4 linked regions of the Diceros bicornis minor genome follow. The protein of the gene in region 4 purifies or fractionates together with the protein of the main gene of each other region. This does not show direct contact. Links are inferred from orthologs where the notes say so. Each region holds a gene or a part of one and is shown on either strand. Other genes may lie near its edges.

Region 1 (7,691 bases), on a different chromosome or scaffold from region 4:
AACATATTTCTGAGTGAATAAAAATCAAAGCACAAAACAACACATATTGAAATAACCCATTGATATTATGATAGTTCACATTTGTGAATAAAATGCAGAGATCTAAAAAAATGTTCCTCAAGGGACTAAGCATAAGCACAAAGACTTCAAGAAATTTTTTGCCTTTTCCTTTATATCTTTGCGTATGGACATTTCTTGCGTTCCCTGGGTCAAGTTACTTAACATCACCTACCTACATCACAAGAATGTAGTGAAAATGTGCTTATACACATAAGGCACCTAGAATAGTTTCAGGAGCACAGTATATTTTCAAAGTTTTTTCCATACTTCACTAGTAAGTTGTCTTTTGGTAATAATTTTATATGGAAAATTTTGTGGGATGATAGAAAAAGGAATAAGGTCACTATATAACAGAAACCTTTAACTTCTCTACCTGACCCCAAAATTAAAATATATCAGGAATAAATAAAGCCATATATAGTTTGGGAGCTTGAATATGAGTGAAATCTCCCAAGGAATTACCTTCCCCTCTCAGTATTGGGGAAATGGGACAGCAGTGTTTGGCAGTGGAGTTCACAAGACCAACAAGCCTACCCTCTCAGTAAAAACCACCTGCTAACTACCAGGACTTAAAAAACAAACAAAAACAAAACTTGCAAGATTGCATGGCAGTCAGCGAAAGCGACTTCTTAAATTATCAAATATTAAAGAAAAAAAGACCTGAACACTAATAAACATTGTAAGCCCAGTGCTAAAGAAAATTAGTTCTATGAGAAATGACATTCAAGTGACATAGAACTGAGTATACAAACTTCCCTCCAGAACCTCAGAACTCGGACTTTATTCCAAAGATGAACTCTCCTTCACCTACAGGTAGATGCCACATAATATCCAAGAGAATCATAAGGTCTAAAAAGTCCACATTTTTACTTAGGATATCTGTTTTGCAAGAGAAAGCGAGCAAGCCCACATACATATGGGACCACCAATCCCAAAAAAGCGTTTAAGTGGTGCACATACACACATTTATGAGTTAGTGAATTCATTCCTTCCCAGCATGTTTTGTTCCAATCTTAACTGTTGTGAGAGCTATCAGTTGCATCTTAGCCAGCAGACAAGCAATTTATTTTTGCTTCACAGAAACCAAGAACCAAGTGTTCCCTACTTTAACAACCCATTCTAAATGTCATTAAAATCGGCTGTAATGACTCTTAACTACAGTCATAGACTGTGTGCTGTAATGGAAAAAGCAAGAGGCTAAGAGTGAATATGAAAAGATCAAGGTTCTAGATCCAGCTGTAAACCACGTAAATTTGCACAAGCCACCTTAACAACTCTGAGTCTCCATTTCTAAGTCATTTCCAGCTCTAATGAGTCTGTGAGTGTAGCTCAAATGAGCTAAAGTATTGGAGTGGGAGAGGAGACAGCCTAAGAGAGAGAAAACTAATGTCTAACATTGAAAACTAAAAACCTTACAAGGCTAAAATGTTACATACTGTTGCTCTCCATATTCAACACATAGGAAGGTATCAAAAAGTACACTCTATCTCAGCTTATACTCTCGACATTAAACAAATACCTGGAAATCAACCCAAATGAAGGACTTTGGGTGAACAAAAACTCATATAAAAGTTACACAGACGACCTAACACAGTGATTCTGTACACGTACACACACAATAAAATGATAAAATTATGCTAAGTATTTGGATGTTCAGACTTTTCTATTTTTGCCTGAGTTATCCAAATAAATCTCTGTTATTTCAGGAATGAACACATATACCGGAGAAGACAAGATTCTGATGCAACTGCTCAAGTCAATTGTTAAATTCCCCTGTACGTTTAAGGAAACGCTCAAGGAAAGGAATCTGAAACACTACGAGTCTGAGTATTTCAACTCACAACCTCCCCAAGGGCGCTATTTTTCCATAAATACCAGAAACATTTTAGAAAAGCATCGGGTTTCAAAAGATGGTTATGAACGTGGGTGGGGGTGGGGGGTTAGAAAACAAGAACTTATTGGAAAAAATGAATGCCTTCTAACGCTTATCCCAGAGATCCTCCGAAACCACTGTTTTAGCCAAAGCAGGAAATAAAGGAGATGGCGGGAGCATAGGCAGAGAGCGGAAGTTTGCCTAGTATCTTCTTTGAAGTGTTTGAATGGACCGAGGCACGCGGTCTCCCGCCAAACTATAAACTCAGAGGCTCCAAACCAGCAGCCTTCCAGCCCATCAGGTATACTCCACGTTTTCCTTTCTCCCGGCAGGCCCTCGACTCTCCCTTCCCCCGAGAACTCCTGGTCTGCACGCCTCACTCAACTCCCGCCACCCCCATCCCAGCCTTCACGAGAATCCAAGCGCTTCTCTCACTTTCCGCCCCCGTCTTTCCCTTGCTGGCCCCCCAGCCGCCCGTCGAGGCCCTCTCCCCGGCCCCTCTGCCTGAGGAGCACCTGGTGTCCTTGGAAGTGAATACTCCCGCCGCGCCCTCCCCCACCCTGCTCGCCGGCCCCAAGCCTTACCCGGGAAGCCAGGCCACGCGGTCCGCGGTTCCCTCCCGCCCGCTCCCCTCGAAGCGACTGCCGCTTGGTTCGGCCCGGGGAGGAGGCGTCCTCGTGGCCACAGCAGGCCTCACCCGCTCCCGACTGGGCCGGGCGGCGGCCGCGCCACACATCCCGCGCCCTTGCCGGGCGAACGTCGGGAGTGGCGCCGCTGTCCCCGACCCGCCGCCTTGAGCCGAGCCCAGAGGGAACAAAGGGTCGGGCTCCGGGGCCCGCTCGGCCCGGCCGGTCCTGGCCCGCTCCCTGCCGGGACCCCAACAAAGCCCGAGCCGCTGCCTCGCGCCCCCGGCCTGGCTTACCCATCGGTCCCCGCACGCTTCTTGCCGGAGGGGTAATCCTCCCCCAGGTCCAACCGGTGCCGCTTGGACATCTTCGGACTCTTCGAGCGGACGGTCGAGAAGAAAGACAAAAAGAGAAGCTGGCGGCTGGATGGGCGCAGTCGAGGGCAGCTACTTAACTCCGGAGGACCCCCCCCACCCCTCCCGCTACAACAGCTTACACCGTGCGGCCGGAACCAGGAGCTAAAATGGCGGCGGCGACGAGGGCTGGGCCTGCGCGCGCGCGCTTCCGGAGCGTGCTCTGCGTGCGCGCGTAGCGCGCGCACGCATAGGAGGCGGGAACTCCCGCCTCGCCTGTGGCTTCTTTGGCCCGCCCTCCTTCGGGTGCTTTCCGCCGTCTGAGGAGCTGCTCGGTGGCGTGAGCCTTCGCGCACCTCTGTTTTAGGAAATTGAGAGGCGGGGAAGTGTAGTCCTATCTGTCTGTATTACCCTGGCTTTAGGGGACTCTGAGACCCGGAGAGGTTTAGAAACTAATCAAGATCACACAACTGATAAGGGACAGAGTGCCAGGATTGGAACCCAACTATTTTATAACTCCAGATCTAGAACTTGCAGCCACTGACCAGATGCTCTCAATTGCAGTTAAGAAACTAAGGTGAGAAAAATCTCAAGACTTGCCATAATCCATTTTGGCCTTATTTTACCCACCACGGGCAACATGCAGTCAACATTGGTGTAATTTTTATTGGAATAAAGAAAATTGACAGTAAGGGCATAATAAGCTTTTTTTTTTCTGTGTGCCTATTATGGGCTTTCACAGTGTTAACCCGAGCTCTGTCCTCATTGTTACAGGAACCCTGCAAGGTAGGTGTTATTTTATAGATGTGGACACTAAGCCTGAGGGAGATTAAGAAGTCACACAGCCATTAGGGCTGTCCTTAAAGCCATAGCAAAGTGATGGGGTAAGATGACATGATTTTTGTGGATCTCTCCAACCGGAACCTATTTGCTTGCTCAGTTGCAATCATTCCCAGAAGAAATGCACAAGAAAAAGATCTGTGGACCAGCCCAAGCTGGGTCATCTGTGTAGTTCATGAAATGGCTGTTTGGCTACCCTGGAAGACCATATTCAGGTTCTTATCAAGTCCTCAGAACTGCAATCGCTAAGGTTAAATACAACTTTAATATTGCAACTGATAAAGAGGGTTTTTATTTTTGAAGCAAATCCACATTCCAAAGTCAGTGCGAAGAAAAGTGAATATTTTCACGTAAAATATTCACTGCTACTTTCTACCCTAAATGTACATTAACAGTATGTATACTGACTTTAGTCAGAGATCATGATGCATAATCGCTGAATTGTAAACCTGGAAAAGAATTTCCAGCTGATTTTCTGCAACATTTTACATACAAGAAAACCTGAGCCCCTAGGTCATGCCCACGTTCATGCAGCAAGTTAGTGTCAAAGTCAGAACTAAAATCCAGATTTCACTCTATGCCAGTCCCAGGTCTCCAGATTCCCAGTTTGAGGGTTTCTATAAAGTACTCTAAAATTTTGGCAAAATAATGAGGGAAAAGTTTAGAATTCTACCTGCAGAAGTGCCCCCACCCTAAGAGGCATCAGCAGGGAGACTTGGTAAAGGAGGAACTGAAATCAGAGTAATAAGACTTCCTCCTTGGGCTTAGGGTATATCTAAAGAAAAGTGTAACCTAATCAATTTTGGTGTAACCTGAATGACTGAAGAAAGGCCATATTTACCAAAGGATAGTGCCCTTTCTGGAATCTACAACAAGGGGAACCAAGGGCCAGAATCTGCCAGGATGTTCACACTCCCTGAGGTCTAGATGACTTACTCTGGATTTTCAGGCAGAATTGTCCCTATAGCAGAGAAGAACCATCCATCAAGGTCCCCTACAGCTTCCTGGAAATGTTACCAGAGAATATTTCCTTTACTCTTACTTTTTGTCTATTAGACAACCCTCTGATCTGTTATTTGGTCTGTGGCATGAATTTATTCAAATAGAGAAAATGTCTTATGCAGCTAACCAGCTCTAGGTGTCAAGCCAGAGGTGTCTCCCAACCTAAATTAATAAACAATAATGATTATGGCAAACACATAGAAAGCACTTACTGGGTACCAGACACTGTTTCTTATATATTTTAACCTATTTGATCCTTACAACAACTTTGACACTCGTTTACAGGTGAGGAAACTGCTGTACAAAAATGCCAAGTATTGTGGCAAAGATGACAGTTCTAGGATTCATCTCAGATAGTTTGTGTGCTTAAGTGCTACGCTGTGCCGCTGATGATGAATAGGTATTCTTATTCCACATTATTCTCCGAGGTTTTTGAGGATAAGTTCCCTCAATCTGACGAACTCAGTGTGAACTGATAAACTGAAGTTTCTACGTTGTCCAAGGGGAGGACTCATTTACACAGCTTTCGATGGACAAGTCAAGATTTAAAGGATTTGAATCCAGTAAGACTCCAGAGCCACACTATTAACCACTACCCTGTATCACTACTATCTATCCTTTAATTACTTCATTTGCTTATTCACTCACCAAATATTTATTAAATCCCCATGTCAGGCATTGAGTTAAGAGCTGGGGAGAGAGGAAAGAACAAAATAGCCACAGTTCCTGCCTTCATGGCACTTATCAGAGGGACAGAGACAGGCATGAAACAATGAAACACATAACTACATTGTTACAGCTCAGATAAGTGCTAAAAAGGCCATCTAAAGGGGACAGGTGCTATGAGAGCATATAACAGGTGGCCCTGATCCAGAGTGAGGGTTAGGGAAGACCTCTCTGAGAAAGGGACATTTAAACAAAGACCTAAAAAATGAGTACAAATTCGTCAGGTGAAGAGGAAGGAAAGCATTCCAGGCAGAGGGCACAGCCTGTGCAAAGGCCCTGAGACTTTAAAAAGTCAGGTGCAATCCATAGACAGAACAACATGAGTGCAATGAGATGAAGATGACATGATCTTGCAGATGCAAGAAGGGGCCGTATCATGCAGAGCCTGAGGAGTCCTGCTAAGGATATTAAGAGTTTATCCTTCCCAAGAGCAATAAGAAGACATCAAAAGGGTTTAAGTAGGACAACGATATGATCACTCATGAGAATTTGCCAGGATCATCCCACCAATCTCACTCTGAATTCTCTTCAGCTGCAAAATGCTTACAAATTCAAAAGAATCTCCACTACTGCTTTTAATCACCCTATCCTCACTCTACCATTTAATAGATAGAAATAGTTACAAAGTGCGGTCGGCACTGTGACTTGGCATGGAAATCCTGCTTCAAGAATGAAAAACATCCCTCACTTCCTGGGAGTGCTACCTGCAGACAACCTTCAGCTGTCAGCTCCCTTCAAAAACTTCATTGGCTAAAGAGAGCTGCCCAAGGGCAGTCTGAATATATTGTGGAGGTATAAGCGCCTAGCCCCTCTCCCCAGCTTGGGACAACTGTGAGCTTCAGAGCATCAGAGCTCTCTGTGGGATCATCTCAGGCCATTGTTATAATGGTATCTTCTATACTGCAATGCAGTTTGGTCACTAACCACCCAGAGGTAGCTCAGACCCCACAAGTTGGGAGCACAGTCCCCAACAAGACTGCCCTCACTCCAGATGCCATCCACAAGTTCAGGAGTCCCCAGGCCACCTACCCTTCTCACCAACTGGCTACAAATTCCCACAAGTCCCTCAGGTTCACTGATTTGCTAGAATGACTCACAGAACTCAGGAAAGTGCTATACTTGTGATTACAGTTTTATTATTATGGATACAAATCAGGACCAGCCAAATGAAAAGACACATAGGGTGAGATCTGGGAGGGTCCTGAACACAGAGCTTCTGTATCTTCTTCCTGTGGAATTAGGATATGTCACCCTCCTGGCACTTCAACATGTTCAGAAACCAGGAAGTTCCACTGAGCTTCAGTATCCAGAGTTTTTATTGGGGTTTCATTACCTAGCTATAATTGATTGAATCATTGGCCCTATGATTGAACTCAATCACCAGCCCCCTTCCCCTCGCTGGAGGTCAGGAAGTCAGGCTGATATCACAAGGCTCAAAGCTTCAACCCTTTAATCACATGGTTGATCTTTCTCACATGACCAGCCCTCATCCTGAATCGTTTCAGTAGCATAAACTCAGATGTGGTCCAAAGACCCACCATAAATAACAAAGACACTCCTATCACTTGGGAAATTACAGGGGTTTAAAAGTTACCTCTCAGGAACCGAGGACAAAAGCCAGTCAAATCATTTATTATACAATAGCATCACAGCACAGTTTTTCCCTCTGTCTGATCCTGCCTTCATCTCTTCCCTTCCACTGGTGTTGATCGTTGTGGACTCCTTAATAAACTTCGTGAATCCTAATCTTTTCCTCATGTGTACTTTTCATGGAACTCAACCTAAAAGATTTGGTGCCAGGAATGGTCCAAGAAAGCAGACACTATGACTGGATTTGGGGGTTGGCCACTGGTTGCTGGCCCACAAGGAATCAGTGGTGGCAGGTAGAATATAGCTACCACAAGAAAGCAGGGCAGTTGTTAAAAGTTTCAGCTGTGGGAAAGAGCATGTGGTGTGCAGCGAAAGAGCATGCGTTGTTCTCAAATTATGGGGGAAAGAGTAACTATAAGCACATTGGAATTTGACGGCTATTGCTATGTAGAATTGATACTTTGGAGGGAGGTAATGAAAGGCTGAGAGTGATTAATCTGCAATTCAAAGCTAAGTGTGAAAACCAGAAGACCTTCTGGGGAGCGTGTGAAGAGGTTCTCATCTCCTGCAGTGGGAAGACAGAGAAAACTGAGGACCGGTCCCAGGACTTAAATATAACAG
Region 2 (7,302 bases), on a different chromosome or scaffold from region 4:
GGAGACCTGGAAGGCCTGGTCCACTTCTTGTTTTTGCAGATGGGACTAAGCCTGGTTGGAAGCTGAACTTCCCACAAGCCCCAACAAAGGACAGCCACATGGATGATGAATCCCACCCAGGTCTCTCCCTCTGTCTTCCCCAACCCGGAGAAGGTGGTGTGGATGGGGAGGGCCTCAGCCTGCCCACTCACCGCAGCACCATCCTGGAGCAGGCCAGGCCACAGTCCCAGTGGTAGAGCTGCTGGATGATGGGCACGGGCAGCTGCACAAAATCCCCTGCATGGAAACACAGGGAGGTCACAGACCCTTGGCATAGTGCCCACCACTGCTGCCCCCATTGGAGCCACCGTCTTTGGCTCCTGCCCAGATCTTGCAGGGGTTGTTCAGGGGCCAGCCCACAGCCTTTCAGGCCCCCCGACCCTTTCTCCTTACAATAGCAGTGATCTCCCAAAACACCAGTCGGAACAGCTCAGCCTGACTCAAAATCCTCCAGTGGGTTGGTTCCCATATCTCTTAGGACAATGCCTTCAAGGCTGCTGCCCCAGCGCCCTCTGCTTCCTCACCTCCCCTCATCCTCAACAGGTCACCCTCCAGGCAGACCTTCAGCTGCTGTGATCCCCTATGCCTCTGGGCCTTTGCATACCTACTCCCTCTGCCTGGACTCTCTTGGCATCACAGGCGCCTGAGCTAACTCCTGTCTTCGGACGTCACTTCTCCACGACGCTGCCCGTCATGCTCAGCCCCCCCACTCTGTGCACTCTCAGAGCAGTGGGAGCTCCAGGGAGGCAGAGATAGGGCCAGCACATGAGAGGCACTCAGCAGATATTCATGTCTGAATTCACGAGGCCTCTGGAGGTTTGCCTGACTCCAAAGTCCCCTGGGCCAACAATGTGTGAAGACCATAGTTAGGAGGAAGGGACTGTAAGGTGATCAGTGTATGTGGAAAGCTATCCTCGGCAACCGCTCAGTCTGTCCTTGCCAAGCAGTGAGGCGGAGCAGAATGGGCCAGACCTAGGCATTCTAGCCCTGGCTCTGTCACTGGCTGGCTGTGGGCTGAGTAGCTGACTTCCTCTTGCTGGTCTGGGTCTGGCCATCTCTAAAGTGGGGGACTTTGGTCTGATTCAGCCATTCGATCAACAAATATTTCCCAAGAGCCTGGCACATAACTGGAGATACAGTGGTGAGAGACATAGACAGGGCCCTGTCCCGGTGGACAGCAAAAACAGGCAAGTATAAGAGAAAAACAGGGGACTAGACTAGGGAAAAGGGTGAGGTGTGCCTTAGAGAGGCAATGCTCAAAGTCTCCTCCTCTAAGAGGCTTTTGCTGACTATGCCTTTGCTGTAGGGGGGGCCCTCCTTCACAGCATCCTGTTTGTTTCCTTCACAGTACTTAATAAAAGTAACAACAAAAAAAAACTAAAGCTACTTTGTCTCCCCACTAGACTATAAGCTTCCTGAGGGCAGAGAATTTGCTAATCTTGTTCACTGTTATTTCCAGTGCCTAGTGTCTAATGCTTAGTAGTAACTCAATAAACATTTGTTGGAAGAAATGAACTTATTAAACACCCACTGTGTGCTAGCCTCTGGGGACACTAAAGGTGACCAAGACCCAAGCCCTGTCCTCCAGGGATTCATATTCTAAAATAATTCCCCCCAATGAGCTGAGTGGAAGGAGAGCTCTAAGTAGGGTGCTGTTCCCTCATGGTGGGATACCTCCCTTATCAAGAACCCCTCACTGTGGCCATAAACTGCCCTTTTTGTTTTTCTCTACACAGGCTGTTTACTCCTCAGCCTTTGCTCTTGCATATCCCTTAGTCAGACTGTTATCTCCCATCTCTGAATGTCCAAATGCTCTGGTTTCTTTCCCTCTCTGAGCCCTTCAATATGGAGTATTTGAGGTGGTGTCTGCCTTCCCCACCAGACAGGCCAAGAATTCCTCAGTGACAGGCAGGGACAGGGTTGCATTTGTCTCTTCCCAGCCCTAGGCCCAGTGCAGGCATTCATACATGCTCGGTGATTGGAAGGCGTTTTTCCAAAAAGGCCTTATCCCTTGCGATGTCTACTTGTCACTGCAATGCTCCCCCACCCAGGCTTCCAGACTATGGACCTCTGTTCACAGCTCCCTACTTACTTTGTGGCCTGGGCTCTCACATCAGCTAGCTGGGCCATCTTTGGCCAGGCTTTGACTCTGTCTGTGCCTTCTCCTATGCCTAGCTGTAAATGTGGCATAGGACAGCTCTCTGTAGGGCCCTCAGGAACTCCACTGCCCCTCCTCTTCTTGCCCCAATCCCTAAAACACCTTGATCCTGAGACCCGGCAGGGCTATACATCCCCACCTGACCATCCCAGTCTTGGCAGGGGCAGGTCAGCCCAATGGAACTCAGAGATACTCCTGTGGGGAGTGATAAGGGTAGGTGAGGCCTTCCAAGCCCAAAGCTGCTGCCAGTTGTTGATGCTTGGAGCCAAGGGACTGTCTCACCTGAGAGCTAGCGTCTGCCTGGAAGGCCCTGGCCTGGCTTCAGTTGGCAGGTGTCGCCAAGGAAGGAAGGCAGCTCACTGGCCCTGGATACTTAACCCCTCAGCCTCAGTCTGCTCATCTGCAAAAGCGCAAATAACGATGGTAACCTACTTCATGGGGTCGTTATGGGGATTAACGAGGCACTGCATGTAAACAATTTAGCACAGTGCCTGCCCATAGAAAGCTCCCCACGAATGTGAGCCATTACTCCACGGAGGCTCAGGAAAGGCAAGCGCCTGGTCCAAGATCACAGAGTTGGAGGAGTAGGGATGCAAATCCCAGGACAGCATCAGACCCTACTCCTTGTTGTAATCACAAAAGAGACCACTCCCTAGGTGGGACACCATGGTCCCACTGATGCCTTAGGGTGGGGCTGGGCATGCTCTTGACCTCTCCCATGAGCTGGTACCTCACTTTAAAGTTTACTAGCTTTAGAGTTTACTTTCTCTTTCTCATCAACCCTACACCTCACCCGGAGCAGGAATCACTACTTCCTCCCCCACTTAGAGAAGCAAACTGTGGCCCACGCACTGGATGTCAGTCTTGGTTTCCGCCCTAAAGGAACTCAGACCACCTTGGGGCAGAAGGAACCAGAGGATGAGGACTGTAGCAAGACTAAAGGCTAAGCCGGGGAGGCCAGGGGAAGGGGACCTCCCACTGCTGTGTTCTCGGCCAGCTCCCCGCCCTTCTAGGCGTCAGTTCTCCCACAGTTCCCCTAGGGGACAGGATCTACCTGCGGCTCCAGCAGGACTTTTCGCTTCGGGGAAGGTGGCGCCCCTGCCTCACAATCAGGACCCTCCCATCACGACCGCTATCAGAACTACTGGGGTCCCAACCCTGGGAGTAACAGGAAACACCAACTGATGGCAGCTGGGGAGAGTGGGGGCCCAGGCGGGAGTGTACACCTGGCCAGGTTTCACTCAAAGCTCTACAGCCTGAGGCGGCGGTCAGCCCAAGGTCGCGCAGCCAGACCCTGCCCCGAGCTAGGGCGGGGTCCCCTCGTTCCCCGGGGTGAGGGGTGGGCCCTCGGGGAAGCACTGACCGGACTCGAGCGGCGCCCCCGCTGCCTCCGCCTCCGTCCTCATGACCCGGGCGGCGCGGGGCGCCCATGGCCCCGGCCCGGCGCCGGCTGCAGCTTCGCCTTTGGCTGGGGCGCGAGCGGGGCCGGCGCGTGTCGTGCTCCTCTGCCGCCACTGCCACCGCGGTGGGGAGAAGGGGAGGCGGCAGCTGTGCCGCCCCAAGCCCCGCCCCGGCCCTTCCAGGCCTGGGATCCGGGGGCCCGCCCCTTCATTAAGCCCCTCCCCTCCCCTCCCCTCTCCCCGAGTCCTGTTCTTAGAGGCCCCCAAGCCTCCTGCTCTAAGCCCGCCCCCGCCTTTCGCTGTCTCGGCTTCTGGTGGCCCCGCCCCTTTCCCAGCCCTCGCGCAGACGCGCAGGCCCTTCTCCGCCTCCGTTCCCCGGAAGCCCCGCCCCTTTCCTGAGCCCCGCCCCTAACCCCAGCGTTCCAGGAACATTGGCTCCCCAGAGGCTCTTCCCTTAGCAAGCTCCGTGTCTGCCCAGCCCCAGCCTCAGGTCTAAGGTCTGGTCCTGCCCCATACACCGCGGGCCTCGGGAGACCACGACCCTGGGCCTGCCCCCGCTCTACTCTATACCTGTTTCCCTATCCGTACGGTGAGATAGGTCGCCTCAATCAGGACGCCCCTTACCTAGAGGTGCCGGGTTCCAAAGATTAAATTGTGAGGGGAGGTCTTGGACCCTCGGCCCCACTGCCTGCCGACCCCGATCCCCGCCTTGCGGTGCAGTCCGTCCCTGGTCTGGGGTGCTAGGAAGCGCGAGTCGTCCTCTCCCCTTGCCGCCCCGGGGGTCGGTGTTTCCGGCAGTACCTGGGCCCGGTCATCAGCCGTCCATTCCGGGGCCGGAACTATCATACTAGAGCGCACGTTTCCTAGCCGGCGGAGTGAGGAGGAAGGAGAGACGAGACCGCGGTCACCGCTAGGAAAAGGAAAGGGGCGGGTCCTGCGCGAGGCATTTTGGGAACGCGTGGTATTCTGGGAGCGCGGGCCCCGCCATTAGTTCCCCACACGCTTACGCGTTCGCCAGAGTCCCTGCCGCCCTAGAAAGGAAGAGGAGGCCGGAGCCGGTGAGGAGAGGCCGGGGGCGGGCGAGGGTAGGCCGAGGCACCCGTGAGGGCCCGGGGGCTGGGGAAGGAGGCGCTGCCGACGAGCTCTGCAGGGCTCGAGGAGGGAGAAGAGCGGAGAAGGCTGGGCCACCCGAGCATCAGCGGTGCCTCCCTAGCGCCTGGAAGTGAGTTCATTAGCTTTTCCCCAGAGTACATGTTCTTCGCCTTCTATACCTCTCCAAGTCAGTGTTTTTCGAAGCATCCAGGCAGTAGTCTTGAAATCATTCCTGGCTGGTTGCCTCCTTCCCCAAATCCTACCTGGGTAATCTTTTTCAAAGTTCTTTGCATCTCTGCCTCCATCCCCCTTTCAGCCGCTGGTCCTCTCCTGCTTTCCACGCTGTTACAGAAGTTCTGTCAAGTTTCCCTGCTTCTAAACCGTGTTCGATCCATTTTGTTGTAAGTGCTGCTGCCTTTTCATTTGATCATTCCTTACCTATAATCCTGCAGTGATTCCCCGCTGCCTTCAAGTATAAAATCTAGACTCCTAAAGCTCCTCACCAAGGGAACTTGTCTTTCCCAACCTCGTGTTCCCTTTCCTGTCTTGACCACACATAATATGTTCCAACCTTCAGTCGTTGCTCACCTTGGAATAAAAAGTCCACTGCTTGTCTCTTCTGTGACATCAAGTCAGTCACTTACCCTGATTATATTTTTCCTACCTGGATTTCCTGCACATTGTCGCTTTGTGAGCACTTTGTATTTTCTTTTTAGCCTTGATGGTGAAGTAAGTGGAGGGTCATGGGCACTTAATGGGTTGAATTGAATGCACAGCCTCTTCTACCAGATTTGCCTGGATCCTTTGGTCTGTATCTGAATTGCCTGATACTGTACACATGTGCCCAATACTAGTACCCACATGTAGCCACTGAGCGCTTGAAGTGTGGCTAGTGTGACTGAGGGACTGAATATTTTAATTTTATTTCATTTTGATTGAGTTTAAATAGCTACATGTGGACTGTGGCTACTGTATTGGACAGCTCAGGTCTATGTCATGAGTTCTCAAAGTGGTGTTAACCACAACTATGGGTTGACAGATACCTTGTATGCACGTTCATTCCAACCCCCTTTCCCCCAACACACAGTATGGTTAATGGTTATTTGATGAAGATAAAGGGACATATGGTAGCAGGGAGGGAGATGGAAAGTACTTTCTTTTCATTCCCAGGCCCCCTCTTTCCCCCTACCCCACATCTTGCATGTGTTTGCCAGATAGGGTCCTCAAGCTAGGAGTTAAGCTCTATTTTTTTTTTTTTTTTTGGTGAGGAACATTGGCCCTGAGCTCATATCTGTTGCCAATCTTCCTCTTTTTGCTGAGGAAGATTGGCCCTGAGCTAACATCTCTGCCACTCTTTTTCTATTTTGTATGTGGGACGCTGCCACAGCATGGCTTGATGAGTGCTGCATAGGTCCGCACCTGGGATCCGAACCTGTGAACCCCGGGCCGCCTAAGCAGAGCATGCAAAGTTAACCACTAGGCTACTGGGCTGGCCCCTTAAGCTCCTTTTTTCTATAGAAAGTGCAGCTTTGGCATTTTTACTAAGTTTTATGGAGTGTCAGGCCTTGAGGGAGGCATGGTGTGTGCTACATGCCTTCTCAGGCTCTGAAAGATGGACTAACTGTTGTCTGTTTCACCGTAGAACTCTCTTCCTGCCAAGATGTCTATTGGCGTGCCCATTAAAGTCCTACACGAGGCTGAGGGTCACATTGTGACATGTGAGACAAATACCGGTGAGGTGTATCGTGGGAAGCTCATTGAAGCGGAGGACAACATGAACTGCCAGGTATCTTGCTTTGCACATGAGGCTGGGGGGAAGCTTGGGCCTCTGTCTTGGACAGAAAGATGGTGATTGGAGGTCTTTTTGAAGTTGTTCTCATTCCTCGGTTATTTATTGAGTGCCTGATGTGTGTTAGGAACTGTTATAGTGGCTGGGCATTTGGGCATAAATAAGAGCCATTGGGAATATTTAACTTTGTGCTTTGTTTTCTCCATCCCATAATCATTTTCTTCCATATTTTGGAGACCTGTTTAGGAAACATAGCTCTACTACCTTCAGTAGAATCCGTCAGGATCGGGGCCATTATCCATTTGCCCCTACACATTTGCGTAATGCTTGGTGCTAAGCAGAATCTTACACTCACGTGCTATGTTTGCCATTTTTCTTGGAGGAGGCATCTTGTTTGATTATAGCAACTACCTTGTGAGGTAAGCAGAATTGGTGATAGGTTTGTCATCCGTATAGTAGGGAGAATAAGATTAATAGACTCATCTACTGAATGTCAATCTGCTAATAAATGTTGGGGCAGCTTCCTGATACAATGCCCTTCCCGTGGCACGATTTTGTTTGCCTTTTGCTAATAATCACGTGAGTTTGTATAACATTGCTTTACAAAGTGTATCAGCACACTTTCTCTCTTGTTCTTTAAACCATCACATGTGGGTTTAAATCCTAATTGTCTAATCTTAGGCATGTTAATCACCTCAGTTACCTTATCCGTAAAATGGGAATGGTGTTATTTTGAGTTGTCTGAGATGTAGATGCCAAGACAAAATTAGTTGTGCAAGAGACTTATTGGAGGAACTGACAATAAAGGAGAAGGAGTAGGGGTA
Region 3 (7,338 bases), on a different chromosome or scaffold from region 4:
AATGATATGTAGCCATTCCATGGGGAACTGTGTGCACTTAATCATCATCATGATCTTTTAGTGTCTTGATCCTCTGCTTGTGCCGCTCAATTTCTTTCTGCAGATGCTCAATCTCCTTTACATGATGAGAGATCTCATCTTCATGGTGTTTCTTCAAGGCTGCCAGTTGTTCTTTAGTCCGCTTTCTACAAGGACACAGTCATTCTGGGTTTAATCCCAATCCTTCACCCCAAAGAGATCTCTATGCATAACCCATAATACCTAAGGCAAAGGACACAGGAGTCCCAATCCCATGCGAGTCTGGCTGGTCATCCTCTTCTACCTCCTTAAGCCCCACTACTGAAAGAATACACCATCTTAAGATGTATCCATCTTTAGATGACCCAAATGATTTCATTTTCCTGGTTCTAGTACCTGAAATTCCATCATTAATGAGCTAGAGTAGAAAACTCCAGAGAGGTGTGACAAATTTCCAATACCTTATTAGAGGAACAACCCAGAGAAGAGAATCCCTTTTTGTGGAAAAAAAGAGCAAAAGGAAGGAGGTCGACAAACGGGTATAGTTAAAGACAAATAGTCACATCCTCTCCCAATTTATCTAGGGCTTTCTTTGCCTAGAGAAATGCATGGCTCACTGTAAAGGCCAAAATGAAGGAAAAAAAAGAAGGGGTCTCTGCATGGTCAGTACTTGGCAGTCCAATTTAAGTCTCAAGAGGGGACGATTCAAACATTGGTTTGGCCACATTTGGGCCTCAGTTTTCCTTAACTGTATAATGTAGGGCCCAATTAGATGGTCTCTAAGGGCTGTACCTTGGCTCTCTGGTATGGCAGGTGCCATGGTGATGATTCTTAAGAGTGAGCAAGAGAGGGCAGAAGTGAACAGATAGGGCAAAGGAGAAGCAGAAGCGAGATTAGTCCCGTGCTGCTCCCCACCGTGAACAGAAGTCAGTAAAAGATAACTCAGGGCTGAAAAAGAGGGTAGACAGGCCCAGATTCTAAAGGAGAGAGAGAAATCTATATAGCCCAGCGGCTGGGCTGGGCGGGGCAGGGCAAAAGTCTCCAGGAAGTGTGTGTATGTGTGGATTCCAACCGTGAGCAGCTGCCACCAACCAGCTCATATGACCCACTCACTCTGGCGGAGACACGTGGGGGTCTAGAAACAGGTGAGAGGGTCTGAAGAGTCAGGGAATCCATCCCTGCGGGGCTTGCAAAACTAAGGCGTGTAGAGGAGAAAAGAGTGCGTAGAGGGGTGAAAGGTGGGTGAGGGCCGAGGGAGTCAGGCTCAGAGGGTCTGCAAGTATTGGACGGTCGGATCCGGGCACTCTGCGAAGTATCTGAGGGGCGTTTCGCACGACCTGGGGAGCATTCCACGGGTGGGGATGGTAAATGATTCAGGAAGAGTGGAGCCGTGGTTTGCGAGTTCTGGACACCCGCAGGTGGAAATGGCTGGCGTTTGGGGGCCTTGGGACATTTGGCAGGGCTGGGAGCGCCCTATAGGTGGCAACAGTCAGGACCTCAAGTGTTGGGCGTAATGGGTTCGGGGGCCCGGGAGTTCTGTTGGGGGATAGGGCACCCCAGGGCACCAGGGAGGGATGGGTGGGGCGACTGGAAGGCCCTGAGAGATCTAGGGCTGGACTCGGGACCCCGTGGGCCTCACCGGAAGTATCGTTCCTCTTCAGCCTGCTCTCTCTTTCCGAAGGCCCCTCCGCCCTCCCGGATCGAGCCCGCGGGGGCGTCGTGATCCTTTGACTGCGGAGAAAGACCGGGACATTGGTAAAGCGCGGAGGGGGAGATGGGATCCGCGCTCAGGGCTGGGGCAGCGGACACTGCCGCCGGCGTACCCGTTCGGAGCTGAAGCCTCGGGCTTGCATGGCCCTCGCGCCCCACACGCCGAGCCGCATCTGCGCCGCCAGAGCCGTGACTGCCATTGCTGTCAGTGCCGCAGCTCTCGGGTCACTGGAGGCGCAGCCTCTCTATAGGCGCTAACAGCGCTGATGGCCGGGCAGCCAATCGTTTCGGTGGAGAGGCGGGATGAACCTAGGAGTAGCGAATCATGAGAGGGAGGAGGCGGGGTTCCTGTAGTTCTCAGCGAATCGTGAGCGAGAGGCGGGCCTATTCTTAGCCAATTCCTAGCAAGGGCTCAAAGCCTAAAGGACTGGAGAATAATGGAGGAGATTGGAGAGGAAGGGGAGGAGAAGGTCAGAAGCCGGCATTTCGGCTCTTGGATTCCTCAGAGTGAGGCGTGGCATCCACTGCCACCCCACGATTCCAATCCTAAAATTGTTATTATTAAACAACCCAAAGGAAGTCTTCCTTTTCCTGGACTACTAGCGTCAATAAGATGGGTAATGGGCGTGGCGGGGATAAGTCCCGGATGCCCCGACTTCGGGTTGTTGGGAAAAAAATTTTTTATGTGTATGTATATGGTCTCTTAAGAGGTGTCAATGTTCTTTCGTTGCATTGACATTTCACTCTCAAGTCTCAGCTTAAGTGTCACCTTCTCAGAGAAACCTTCCCTGACCTCCTTAGTCATTCTATCATAGTTCCCTGTTTTGTTCTGTTTCTCTCTTTTTGCACTTTTCACCTTCTGAAGTTATCAGGGCCTTGATCAAATAGGCACTGAATTAATATTTGTGAAATGCATTAATACGTTAACTGTAATTTTGGCAATCTGGTGCAATGAAGTAGAAAAGAGCATAAGTAGAAGTCTAGGGAAGGCTTTGCCTTGATGTTCCTTCAGCCCTCTAACAAATGTGAACAAGACAGTAGTTTATAGCCTTTGCCTACCTCATTTTCTCTCTCTGGACCCAGTTTTTTTCTCTTTTAGATGAGAGGATTGGGCCAGATTATCTATCTTATTCATGATTATAAAAATACTTTCTTTGCCTTCTATGAAACTGTAGAACTGTTTTTGTTGATCATCTTTTGGTTGGAAAAAATACCAGTCCTAGTTTGTATGACTTAAATGGGAGGAAATGGCTGCAGGGCACATTTTCAAATGTTCACTGCAGAAAACTTGGAAAAACACAAAAGCAGAAGAATAGAAATAATCATCACTTACAAGCCCACTACCTAGTGATAATGATTTGGTGTGTTTCTAGAGAGAGAGAGATATATTTTAGGAAGATTGGCCCTGAGCTAACATCTGTTGCCAATCTTCCTCTTTTTTCTCCCCAAAGCCCCAGTACATAGTTGTATATCCTAGTTGTAGGTCCTTCTAGTTCTTCTATGTGGGACGCTGCCTCAGCATGGCTTGCTGAATGGTGCATAGATCCACGCCCAGGATCTGAACTGGCGAACCCCGGGCTGTGCAAGCAGAACACGTGAACTTAACTGCTGCGCCACCAGGCTGGCCCCTCCAGATGATATTTAAGTGCCATTCCTGTTTCAGAAACTCTGTTTCTAGTTCTCAGATACAGCTGTTTCTTAATTATCTCCTAGGCTAGGCATCAAGTAGAGGGTCTTTCTGTTTGTGCAAAAGATCCATTTAGGCACTAGGATGGCTACAATTTTAAAAAATGGAAAATAAGTGTTGGTGAGGATGTGGAGCAATTGCAACCCTCACACGTTGCTTGTAGGAATGTAAAATGGTTCAGCTGCTGTGGAAAACATCTTGGCAGTTGCTCAAAAAGTTAAATATGGAATTACCATGTGACTCAGCAATTTTCCTTCTAGGTATATATCCCCCAAAATTGAAAACTGGTATTCAAACAAATGCATGTACATGCATGTTCACAGCAACATTATTTCATAATAGCCAAAAGATGGAAACAACCCAAATGTCCATCAACTGATGAATGAATAAATGAACTGTGGTATATACATACAGTGGAATATTATTCAGCCATAAAAAGTAATGAAGTAATGATACATGCTATACCTTGGACAAACCTTGAAGATTATGCTAAGTAAAAGAAGCCAGATACAAAAGGTCATATATTGTATGACTGCATTTATATGAAATGTCCAGAATAGGTAAATCCAGAGACAGAACACAGATTGGTGGTTGTCAGGGGCTAGGAAGAAGGGGGAATGGGAAGGGACTGCTTAATAGGTGCCAGGTATCCTTCCCAGGTGATGAAATTGTTTTGGATCTAGATAGAGGTGGTGATTGCATAACACTGTGACTATACTAAAGGCCACTAAATTGTTCACTTTAAAGTGGTTAATTGTGTGTTATGTGTATTTCACCTCAATTAAAAAAAACAATTTACGAACGTAGATTAAAAGTGCCCCCTTAGGCTTCCAGCCCTTTAAGGGTCGCAAAGAAGAGGGCGGGGCTAGAGAGGGCCTGTAAGAATCACGTGAGGCAGCGCCTGCGCAGAAGAGTCACGTGGTGGCTGGGCCGGGGAAATGGCGGCTCCAGGAGAGAGTGGGGCTTCGGCCGGCGGAGGCAGCACAGAAGAAGCATTTATGACCTTCTACAGTGAGGTGAACGCCGAGTGAGGAAGAGTGGCACCCGGGCGACCCCGCTCGGGCCTGCTCTGCCAGCGGGTGAAGGCAGTGGTCCTCCTGGCTTGGACCGTTGGGCGGCTCCTCCTGTTCGGCCTTCGGGGCGGCGGGGGGCTGGGGGCGTGTGTACATCTCTCCCTGCTAGCTGCTGGGGGATCCCCTGGGCAACGGAAAAGGTCGGGGGAGGGGGGTCCGACGTCTGCGAGGAGACGGCGAGTGTAGCCAACGAAGTGCCTGGGCGCGCGCAGAGTTCCCCAAGTCCGCGGAGTCCGGGGCTGGCAGGGGCTGGGCCTTCCTGGGGGCGACTTAACCGTCTTGGCCCCCATTTTATTCTAAACAGCAGCGCTTTCTACACTTAGTTCTCTGTAATGAGTTGTATTAGTGGTTATTTCTGCCATTCGCGAACGCCAGGCACTGTGCATCATGCCAGGTAGGCATTATCTCCATTTTACAGATGACAAACCTGAGGTTTAGGGAGGTGAAATAATTTGTTCCAGGTCTTAGAGCAGATAGCTTGGTATCATGTTAGGACAGGAGTAGGGTTGGTCTGAGCCTCTTTTATATCGCATCTCCAGCGCCTAGTACATAGTGGTCGCTCAGTAAATGTATGTTGAGTAAATGAATGCATGAATAAGTGAAGAGCATGCCGTTTGGAGTCAGAGGACCTCTGATTGGATTTATGCAAGGCAGTTAATTTGTCTGCAATCGAACTCTTTCAAGGCATTGATTTTGCAGCTCCTCAGTTTCCACGTCTGTAAAACGAGAGTTAATATTAAAACAAGAGTTTTTTTTTTTTATAATTTTATTTATTTATTTTTCCCCCAAAGCCCCAGTAGATAGTTGTATGTCATAGCTGCACATCCTTCTAGTTGCTGCACGTGGGACGTGGCCTCAGCATGGCCAGAGAAGTGGTATGTCGGTGTGCGCCCGGGATTGGAACCCGGACCGCCAGCAGCAGAGCGCGAGCGCTTAACCGCTAAGCCACCAGGCCGGCCCAAAACAAGAGTTTTTATGAAGGTTAAAGCAATTAATGTGTATGGAAGGGTTTCATAAAATATAATAAAACAGGAGCATCTTTCTAAGAGTTAAAGCAAGGCTGAAGACGAACCTCGTAATGTTGGCGTGGATTTGAGGAGTGGAGTTGCTCCCCACCAGGCTGTGGACTGCTCAGAGTTAAGCAGCATGTCACATTCATCTTTTATGTCTGGTATTTGTAACAGTGCTTGTTACATAGTAGTTTCTCCAAAGTATTAACTTTAAAAACAGAAAGTAGCACATTCGTTATAGCCTGTCCTTTTGAAATGCCTGATTCCTTTGAAAATGTTGGTGCGCTGGTACCATAATTTATTGGCCTCTAATGACTACTTACTAATTATAGTGAAACTTGTTTCACTTACTCTCTCTTAGTTAAAAAAAAAAAAAAAGCAATCCTGGTTTGTTTGAATTGGACGGGGGAAAGAACCTAAAGGAGGACCCTTCAGTCATCATTCAACCAGTGTTTATTGAGCGCCTGACATGTACTAGGCTACTGCTTAGGTGCTGGAGATTCGGTAGTGAAGGACAGAGAGAAAAATCCTGTTTTCGTGGAGCTTGTGTTCTATGGAGAAGGATAATCGGTAAACAGATGTACAATATAGTGTCAGGTAGTGATAGGTGCTTTGAGGAAAAATAAGCCTGGGAAAGAAGGTAGAGAGTAGGAGGGAGTGGCATGCTATTTTAAAATGAGTGAAGAGGGAAGATATTGAGAGACAGTGTCTTTTTATGTTACTGAAATTCTTTCTAATCTTGTTTTGGCCATAGAAATAAAAATGTTATATAACACACCAGAGATTCATTCCAGTTAGCATTCTTATTCTGGCAGTGGCACCAAGGATGTTTTCCCAGGACTGCCTGGTGCCTGTTCTTAGCACTGTCTTCAAGTCAGGGATTTTTCTAATAACTCCATTAGAGTTAGGTAGGCAGAGTTATTTGCTCCCTCTCATATACATTTTTTTTTTTTTTTTTTTGGTGAGGAGATCAGCCCTGTGCTAACATCTGCCAATCCTCCTCTTTTTTTTTTTTTTTTTTGCTGAGGAAGACCAGCCCTGGGCTAACATCCGTGCCCATCTTCCTCCACTTTATATGGGATGCCGCCACAGCATGGCTTGCCAGGCAGTGTGTCGGTGTGAACCCGGGATCCGAACCAGCGAATCCCCAGCCACCGCAGCAGAGTGCGTGCACTTAACCCCTTGCGCCACCGGGCCGGCCCCTCATATACATTTTTAATGCTGCTTTTAGTATATATTTCAGTGTAATTATATTTTTCCTTTCTTAAAATAAAAAGTTGTAAATTAAGTATGAACACACACAAGTATATCTTCCGTCGTTACAGTGGAAGCTCCCAAGGTGGTGGCTGTGACTTATTTATCTTTGAATCTTCTTGATGCCTGCTCTGGAGTCAAACTGTTGGGGTTAAAATTCTGGTTTACAAGTTGGGTAGTTGGGAACAAGTCTGTTAACCTGTTTAAGTCTCAGTTTCTTATCTGCAAAATGGGGATAATAGTAGTCTCTACAGGTAGGATTGTTGAGAGGAATAAATATGTGTAAAGTTTTTACATTATTAAAATTCAGTAAATGGTAGCGGTTGTAATTATTCCTTAAAGTGTTTAGTAAAATATCTTGAACATTTAGACACATAAATGTTTGCTGAATGTGCCAGTGAGTAACTTGTTAGGATGACAATTCAGAGTTTACTATTGAGCTTTACTAATGAAGTTTTTATCCCCTTTATTTTAGGTGAAACAAATAGAGAAGAGAGATTCAGTTCTAACGTCCAAAAATCAGATTGAAAGATTGACCCGTCCTGGTTCCTCCTACTTCAATTTGAACCCATTTGAGGTGAGCTGT
Region 4 (7,421 bases):
GGGCAGACCCACCAGTGCTGAGCAGGCCTGGCCGCTGCCTGGAGCCCTGGTTTCCGTGGGCGGGCCCCACTTCCCTGCTTGACTGGGGTAACACCCTGCCCAGAGCAATAGTCGAAGCCGAAAACGGTGCTTGTGACGGGCTCTCGGAGCTGGCCCGTTCTCCTGTAACTGGCCACCCTGGTCCCTTCCCTGGGGGTTGGTGCTCTTGGTGCACGAAGGTGCTGTCCCTCACCCCCGTGAACCCCTTGAACCCCGTGCCCCAGCCCCCAGGACAGGGCAGCGTTCGCCTGGCCGCTCCGAGAGGGTCCCTTCAGCTGCCCTCTCCATGTCAGGAGCACAGGGCTCCTTAAAAAGCTGCAGAGCTGGCAGGAGAGGAGCCGCAGCACAGCCCTGGCCTAGAACCAAGCGACCCTGCACACACACTGCGTCACTCGTGCGGGCTCCTACCGACGTGCCATATCTCTCCCCCCAACACCCGCGTCTGCGCACACGTGAGGCCGGGCACTGACGCCCACTGCTGGGGATCCATCAGCCGTGAGCACTCGGGAGTCTCCTCTCTGTGCCCACCCTCCAGTCTGAGCCCCTAGGCCCTTCTGAGACCAGCCTCCTCGCAGCAAGGCCCCCGGCACACGACTCGGGCAGCGGGCTCTGGTCTCTGGGCGGCACTGGATGGAGCCCTGGTCCTGCTGTGATGGCGGGCACCTTCAGGGAAGCTAGCGGGCTGCAAGGTCGCTTTGCTCAGGAAACCCTAACAACTAGGACCACCCACCGTCAGGGGGGTCAGCCTTTCCTCCCTGCTGTGACTCGTGACTTATTTAAGACCCCCACCCCTTTATTTATCCACCGGCTGCAGTAGGAGACGGTGTTCGTCCCGCTGCGTCATTCTCATTACACGGTCCATCCACACCGGCTCATTTCTCATGTCTCGACCTTGATTTGTAACTCACATGGGCTTTGCTTTGTTTTCCTGGTAGACTGTTTGGGTTGGGGGTGCTGGCACGGCCTGTCCCTCTCTGGGCTGGTGGCCTGACCCCCTTTTCCTAAGGGAACTCCCTGCACCCTGCATTTCCACCTTGAGACGCTGTAATAAAATATTTGTTTTCACTCGAACCTGGTCTGGTGGCAGCGTTTCTTCCTAATCAAGACGTGACAAGGTCTTGGAGAACCCAGAGGGCCCCGGGCTGTCCTCGCTGTCCCCAGTGGGGAGGACAGTCACTCCAGCAGAAGCTCCTCGTGCTCCTGAAGACAGCCGCTGTGACCATGGCAGACAGATGGCGAGCCCCCACCTCAGGGAGGCCCAGCCCCACCTCAAGGGCTTACACCTCACAGGATCAGGCCCACCCAGAACGGCCTCCCTTTTGATTAACTAAAACCAACTGATGAGAGACTTGAACAACATAGGCCAAACCCTTCCTGAGGGTCCTCCTGCACCCAGGGGAGGCCTGGAAAGCAGGGGTGGGTCGCGGGTCACCTTATAATTCCATCACACACTCCCTCCGTTCTTCCTCAGGGCCCCCCGACTTCCCCAGCTCTGGTTCCAGGCCTCCCTTGGTTCGAGGAGCCTGGCCCCAGCCTCCCAACCACTTAACCCTCAAGCCTGGACAGGACCTCTGTCCCCACGAGCCTCACTTCCCTCGGGAGCTGGCTCCGACCACCCGGGACCACGAGCCTGTGGACACGTCCCTCTGCAATCACCGCACCACCGCCCCATGTGAAAAGAGGTACCTTTATTCAAACAGAACGAGCACGCCAGCTCGAGGCGTCCGGCCAGGGTCTGCCCCGTCAGCAGGTGGAGAATTCACAGTGGCCCAGGAGGCACGGGCCCCCTGCCCTTCACAGCATCGTCTAGCTTTGTACATTCAGCCTGCACAGGGCAGGAGAGCTGTGCCAGCCCCAGGCGCCCGCCAGGCCCTGGATGGACGTGCCCGAGGGGCCAGGCGCAGCTCCTGGGAGTGGACGCTCGTCCCCGGCAGCAGCATGTGGCACCGAGAGGTACTGGGCCAGTCCAGTGGGTCCCGAGGCATGGGGAGGGGGACTTGCTGCCCACCCCCACCAGCCTCGAGATTTTGAAGTCTTTAAGCCTAAACGCCTCCCGCCGCAAATCCAGGTGTGGCCAGGAAACCCAGGGCCCAGCGAGGTGAGGAGGGCGTGCCCCAGCCTCAGCAGGAAAGCCAAAGAGCCTGAGCCCGGACTCATGCCTGCAGGCCGCTCAGCTGGAACCTGGCCTCCTCGGATATGCCGAACTGCTCCAGGGGGTCCTGTGTGGGCGGGTGGGTGGGGCAGTGTGAGCCCAGGGCCCAGGAGGCCCACAACCCCAGCCCCTCCACCTCCCCCACACCCCGTGCCCCTCGCGCACCTTGCCGGTCATTTTCTGGATCTCGTTCCTGTAGAAGATGAGGCTCCTCCGCATGAACTCGTAGCTGGGGAAGAAAGCAGCGTGCGCTCACAGGGCCCTGCTCTGCCCCTGCCCGGGGCCCCCACGCCAGCCCGCAGCCCACCTGGCTCGGCGCAGGGCCGCTATCCACTCCTGACACTGCTCCTCGCTGCCGCACTCAAAGTGGTACTTCCGCTCAGGGTCCCCGATGAAGCCTGCAGAGGGAGCGGCCCCCCAGACAGCCACAGGCCTTAGCTTCCTGTTGCTGCTGTCCACAGCTGTAGCCTCTCCAGCCCCAGCCTGCACTCACCACTTCCCGCCAGCTGCAGGTTGAATTGCATGCCCCCAAAGGACATATCCTAGCTCCTGGGACCTACGAATGCCGCTGTATTTGGATAGGTGGTGGTCGCAAGTATAATTAGCTAAGACGAGGCCACACTGGAGTGCGGTGGATTCTAATCCAACAGGACTGGTGTCCTTATAAAAACTGGACATTCAGACATAAACAGGGGAAAAGGCCACAAAAGATGGAGGCAGAGACGAGGTGATGCTCCTACTAGCCAAGGGATGCCAAAACTGCCAGCGACCCCCAGAAACTAAGACAACATGGGACAGATTTCTCCCTTGTAAGAATCCTGCCTGCCGACAACCCGATCTCGGACTTCCGCTCTCCAAAACCGAAAAAGTGAATTTCTGCTGTTTAAGCCCCCCAACCTGTGGCACTTCGTTAAGGCAGCCCCCGGAAACTAGCAGAGGCTCCATCTTCCCCTGCATACTCCACACCCTCTCCAGAGAGCCCAGAAGTAATCCTCCGGGGCCCCCAGCAGAGGACCGGGCACCCCGAGAGGGCACTGGTCCCCAACAAGAGGTGGCGTTCGGGGTGGCAGCTCGGAAGTGGCTGGGACAGGTGTGCCCAGCCTGGGACCCCAGGGGAGGAGCGCAGGGGAGGCGCCCGGCGGGCCCGGCGGACTTTGTTTCTGGGGCGCGGCCGGGCGGAGCTGGGTCTCGGCGGGCCTCGTCCCCGCCCCCCCGCACTCAGTGATGGACACTCACTGATGGAGAAGCCGCTGGGCTCTTCCTGGGCGACTCTGCAGTGCTCCAGCAGCAGGGCTCCGACGGGCTGGGGGCAGACGCGGCGATGGGGGCAGACTGCGGGGAGCCCGACCCGGATCCCTCCCCTCCCCTCCCCAGCTCCCCCCCCCGCCGCCCTACCTCGGCCTCATCCGTCCGGAAGTAGAAAAGGAAATTGACCACCAGCTTCACCAGCCGCCGCTTCACCACTGCGGGCACAGGGCGGGCTCGCGCGGACTCGGCGGGCTCAGCGGCCGGCCTCCCCGCCCCGGCCCGCCCGGCCCGCCCGCCCCGGCGCCCCGGCCCGCTCACCGCTGCCCTTCTTGGGGCCCCGCATGCCCAGCTCGGCCGCCAGCTCGGCCGGCTGCCGGGACAGCGCCTGCAGCTCCTTCTCGTTGAAGCGCATGGCGCCGCTGGGACCCAGGACGCGGAGCCCAGGCTGCGCCCTCTCGGCCGCCGTCCCCGCTCGCGCCAGAAAAGTCCCACGGCGCCGTCCCGGAAGCGCTCCCGGAGCTACTGCGTCTGCGCGCCCCCGGGCCGCTTATCCTGTCAATCATCGGTGCGTGGCCCTGACGTCACCCGGCCCACCGCGGCCGAGCGAAGCCGTCGTGGGCCGCACGGGATAGTGGGTGAGACGCACCGTCGTTATATATAACCATGAAGTAAGCTAGGCCCGCGTGGCAACAGAATAAAGCACCCCCACGACTGCTGGCACCCTTTACTGAAGCGGACAGGAGAAGGCAGATGTTGGGCGAGTCGCAGCCCTTCCTCCCGCGAGAACTGGCCTCGCGGGAATTAGAGGCGACCCAGAGGGCGTCGAGAGCCTGGTGCGCACGCGCACTTCGGGAACCGGCCCGCACTCTCAGCCCCGCCCTTTTCCCCTCGCGCCTCCAGAGCGTCCCGCCCACGTCGCCGGCGGATCGGGCATGCGCACACGGGAGGCCCTGCTCCGTTTGCCCCCGGAAGTGCTTCCTTAGCCCTTGGCGCGCGTGCGCAGGACGAAGTCGTGGCGGCCCCCGCGGCGGCTGAAAAGACAACGGTATCTCGTTGTCGGGTGCGGGTAAGGAGCGGCGCGGGGCGAGGGCGGCGGCCCCGGGGCCCGGGGTTCCCTGGAGGGGAGCGGACGTGGGCGAGGCGGGCCTGCGGCGGGGGGGCGCGGGTTGAGGGCCGAGCGGCCGCGGCGGCCCGTGCCCGGGGATGTGGGGCCTCAGCGTCCCGGGCGCCCCCTGCCCGTCGGAGCTCTCCCTCCAGAGGCCCGTGGGCCCTGGGAGCTCCAGTTCCCGTAACTGTGGGATCGGGGGCGCGGCGGTCCCCGCTCCAGGCCAGCTGAGGAATAAGCGAGGTTTGGGGGCAGAGTGCCCAGCCCCGCGTCGGGGGCGACCGGAGACCGTGAGCCCGCCCCGTTTGGCGAGCGAAGCCCGAGCTTAAATGACTCGGATGCCCGCTTCCTCCTTCTTCCCTTTGGCCGCGCAGAACCCCCGAGAGGAGCCGCCGAAAGTGTTCTGTTGGGCAGGTTTACGGGGATAGTAGCGTGCTCATCAAGAACTGTCATTCATCCCTGTTCCCTGGTCCCTCCCCAGAGGCCACGCCTTTAGAATTCTGGATGCTTGGCCTTAATCTTTGTAAAAAACTTAATTTTTTCTGAGTGTGTCGGTTTTAGACGTGACCTGCTGACTTTCTACCGTGATTGATGAGATTATTTCTGCCTCCCACCCACTCGCTCCAACGTCGCCTTCCATCCCTTGAACGTGTTTATAGAGCCTGAGCTTTAGCGAAATCATTAGTCCTGTATTTTAAAACCGAAAATATTAAGATGTTCATCTGTGTCATTTTCCTTGTTCTGTTTTTCCCCAAAAACTCATTAATTTTTTAATAATTTTTCTTTCAAAACTCCAACACCGCGCACACGTATTTTTGCGCAGTTGTGAAGAGCATGTCTTGGTAGCTTTTAAGAAATCCGTTGACTGATTTGAGTTCTTGGTTATCTGAAAATGGCTTTATGTATTCTCAGAGTTAGAAGTTCGGGTATAAAATTCTAGATTGAAAATCCGTGTGGAGAATTGTGGAAAGCGTTGCCTGCCTTACTGAGAGGTCTGGTCCCATTCGGGCTTCTGAACTTTTATTTCTAGCTTTGTTTCTGTGTCGTAGAAACTTAAGGGTTTTCCTTGCTGTTGTGAAGTTTCCTGATCTGTTTATTGAGGATCTGTTTATTTGTTGACCTGGGTGGGTCTGTTTCCTTGGAAGAATTAGGTCCTTTCAGTCCTGGGTTTTTTCGTTTCTTTGAACACATTCTCATGTTCTCTGTGTGATAACACTCTCCATGCTTCTTTCTGTTCTTCTTCTGGAATTTCATCTAGGTTCTTGTTCTGTCTCCTGTTTTTTCATTATTTGGTTCTCCCTTAGGAAATATTTTTTTAATTCTTATCTCTGAGCCCCGTGTTCCATTTTTTGGGGGGATCATCCGGTCTTTACTGTCCAAGGATTCATTCTGGTTTTGCTTCGCCTTGCTAACCTTTGGCATCCTGTTCTAGGGTCACGGTGCAGTAGATAACTTCCCGGACAGTTCAGGAGAACGTTAACGTTTCCTATTGAGATTTCATCAGGTTTCTGCTTTCTTGGCGACACAGCGATCCTTCGTGTCTGTATTGTCAAGTTGCCCGCTCTGCGGGTAGAGCCCAGTTTCTCACCTAGGGAGTCTCCCTGCTCCGTGGGCCCGGTGGGGAGCTGGTGTTTTCTTTGGGGCGTGGGGGACCCTAGCTGTCAGTGTCTGAGAATGCTTTCTCTGGCACTCTTTCCCCAGAAGAGACTCCTGCTGTCCCCTGGGCTGGGGGCTCCGGGCTGGGCCTCCCGCTGTCTGGACCTGGTGTGGGGGAGCTGCTGTTCCGTGGGCGGGTTTTGATGGAATCCCCTCTTTTCAGCCTGGCGCTCCCCCAGCTCTCTTGTCCCACTGTGTCCACATCTCTAAGCCAGGAGGCCCTTCATTCCAATTCTTCTAAGAATAAAACTGCCCTGCCCAGGGAGTCGAGGGTGCCTGGGTCTGTGACCTTTCTCTCATGGCAGAGACTCTCATTTCAGTTGCGGGGGGGGGGGGGGCGGGGGGGGGTAGCGTGTGTTCAGGGAGCTGTGAGTAACCAGCACTTTCAGTTTCCGATGGTTACTGGTTTTCACTCTCATTTGGTGAGCGGTTACGGATTTGTTTGGGTTTCCTGAGCCCATCAGCTTCTCTCAGCAGGTGCTTTCTGCGACCCCTGGCCCCCATGCGCATTTCCCGGCCAGCCTCCGGGACTGAGGAGCCCAGTCTGGCCGCTTAGGAAGGAGTTGGGCTCATCCTCAAACGGATCGGAGCTGTTGGCTTGGTTAACCTTGTTGCCTTCCAACTCACTTTTCCAGCTCCTCCCAGCCATTGTTCCAGGAGAATGTTCTGAAGGTGTCACTAACGCATGACAGGAACAGGACATCAGCAGACAGGTGGCTCTCTGTCCCGGCCCCCGCAGTGGTGCCGCGGGTCCCTCTGAGCTCCTGCCCTCGTTCCGAGAACACTCGTTGTCGTTGGTTGGTTGGTGTGATGACAGCCGTCCTGACTGTGTAGGGTGGTGTCTCACTGCAGTTTTCACTCGTGTTGCCCTGATGGTTCGTGACGTTGGGCACCTTTCCTGTACCTGCCAGCTGGCTGCTGAGTTAGTCAGAGCACACTCCCAGCCTCAGAGGCCCCCGTCCTCAGTGTTTGGGGAAGCGCCGTCCTCTCCCGGCCCTGGGAATCTGCAGGGGAGGCCTGCAAGTCACTCACCGGAGGGAGCCGGCTCCGGGCCCCCGGATTCACGCTCTGGGTAGAGGCTAGAGGGCAGGTAGTGCCTCTCGGCTCTCACATGCACTCCCCCTGTGCCAGCTTCCCGTCCCGAGGCCAGCAGGGAGGGTGGGGTTTTGCCCCTCGGGGGTGGGCAGTGCTCAGCCCGTGAGCTGCTGGACAGACGGCACG

Evidence for each region.
Region 1: the proteins of SF3A2 (region 4) and DHX15 purify together in Homo sapiens (affinity purification with mass spectrometry; 4 studies listed by BioGRID and IntAct, with this or other methods). This does not show direct contact. The link is inferred for Diceros bicornis minor from reciprocal best matches to the Homo sapiens genes SF3A2 and DHX15.
Region 2: the proteins of SF3A2 (region 4) and SNRPD3 purify together in Homo sapiens (affinity purification with mass spectrometry; 4 studies listed by BioGRID and IntAct, with this or other methods). This does not show direct contact. The link is inferred for Diceros bicornis minor from reciprocal best matches to the Homo sapiens genes SF3A2 and SNRPD3.
Region 3: the proteins of SF3A2 (region 4) and DNAJC8 purify together in Homo sapiens (affinity purification with mass spectrometry; 3 studies listed by BioGRID and IntAct, with this or other methods). This does not show direct contact. The link is inferred for Diceros bicornis minor from reciprocal best matches to the Homo sapiens genes SF3A2 and DNAJC8.

Annotation. Positions count from the first base shown.
Region 1 is NC_080747.1:19,849,696-19,857,386, forward strand, and holds the start of DHX15 (ATP-dependent RNA helicase DHX15), read right to left. Parts: upstream 3,024-7,691; 5' UTR 2,927-3,023; coding exon 2,856-2,926; intron 1-2,855.
Region 2 is NC_080774.1:28,860,910-28,868,211, reverse strand, and holds the start of SNRPD3 (small nuclear ribonucleoprotein Sm D3), read left to right. Parts: upstream 1-4,298; 5' UTR 4,299-4,655; intron 4,656-4,725; exon of another isoform or gene 4,726-4,819; intron 4,820-5,005; exon of another isoform or gene 5,006-5,090; intron 5,091-6,331; 5' UTR 6,332-6,349; coding exon 6,350-6,475; intron 6,476-7,302. Other genes in the region: protein GUCD1, read right to left, coding at 192-276, 3,561-3,603. UniProt on the Homo sapiens protein: Plays a role in pre-mRNA splicing as a core component of the spliceosomal U1, U2, U4 and U5 small nuclear ribonucleoproteins (snRNPs), the building blocks of the spliceosome.
Region 3 is NC_080752.1:43,651,751-43,659,088, reverse strand, and holds the start of DNAJC8 (dnaJ homolog subfamily C member 8), read left to right. Parts: upstream 1-4,327; 5' UTR 4,328-4,353; coding exon 4,354-4,431; intron 4,432-7,227; coding exon 7,228-7,329; intron 7,330-7,338. Other genes in the region: ATP5IF1 (ATPase inhibitor, mitochondrial), read right to left, coding at 38-185, 1,658-1,749, 1,842-1,928. UniProt on the Homo sapiens protein: Suppresses polyglutamine (polyQ) aggregation of ATXN3 in neuronal cells.
Region 4 is NW_026691553.1:1,550,948-1,558,368, forward strand, and holds the start of SF3A2 (splicing factor 3A subunit 2), read left to right. Parts: upstream 1-4,394; 5' UTR 4,395-4,484; intron 4,485-7,421. Other genes in the region: PLEKHJ1 (pleckstrin homology domain-containing family J member 1), read right to left, coding at 2,193-2,258, 2,357-2,420, 2,499-2,589, 3,428-3,494, 3,587-3,654, 3,758-3,851. UniProt on the Homo sapiens protein: Component of the 17S U2 SnRNP complex of the spliceosome, a large ribonucleoprotein complex that removes introns from transcribed pre-mRNAs.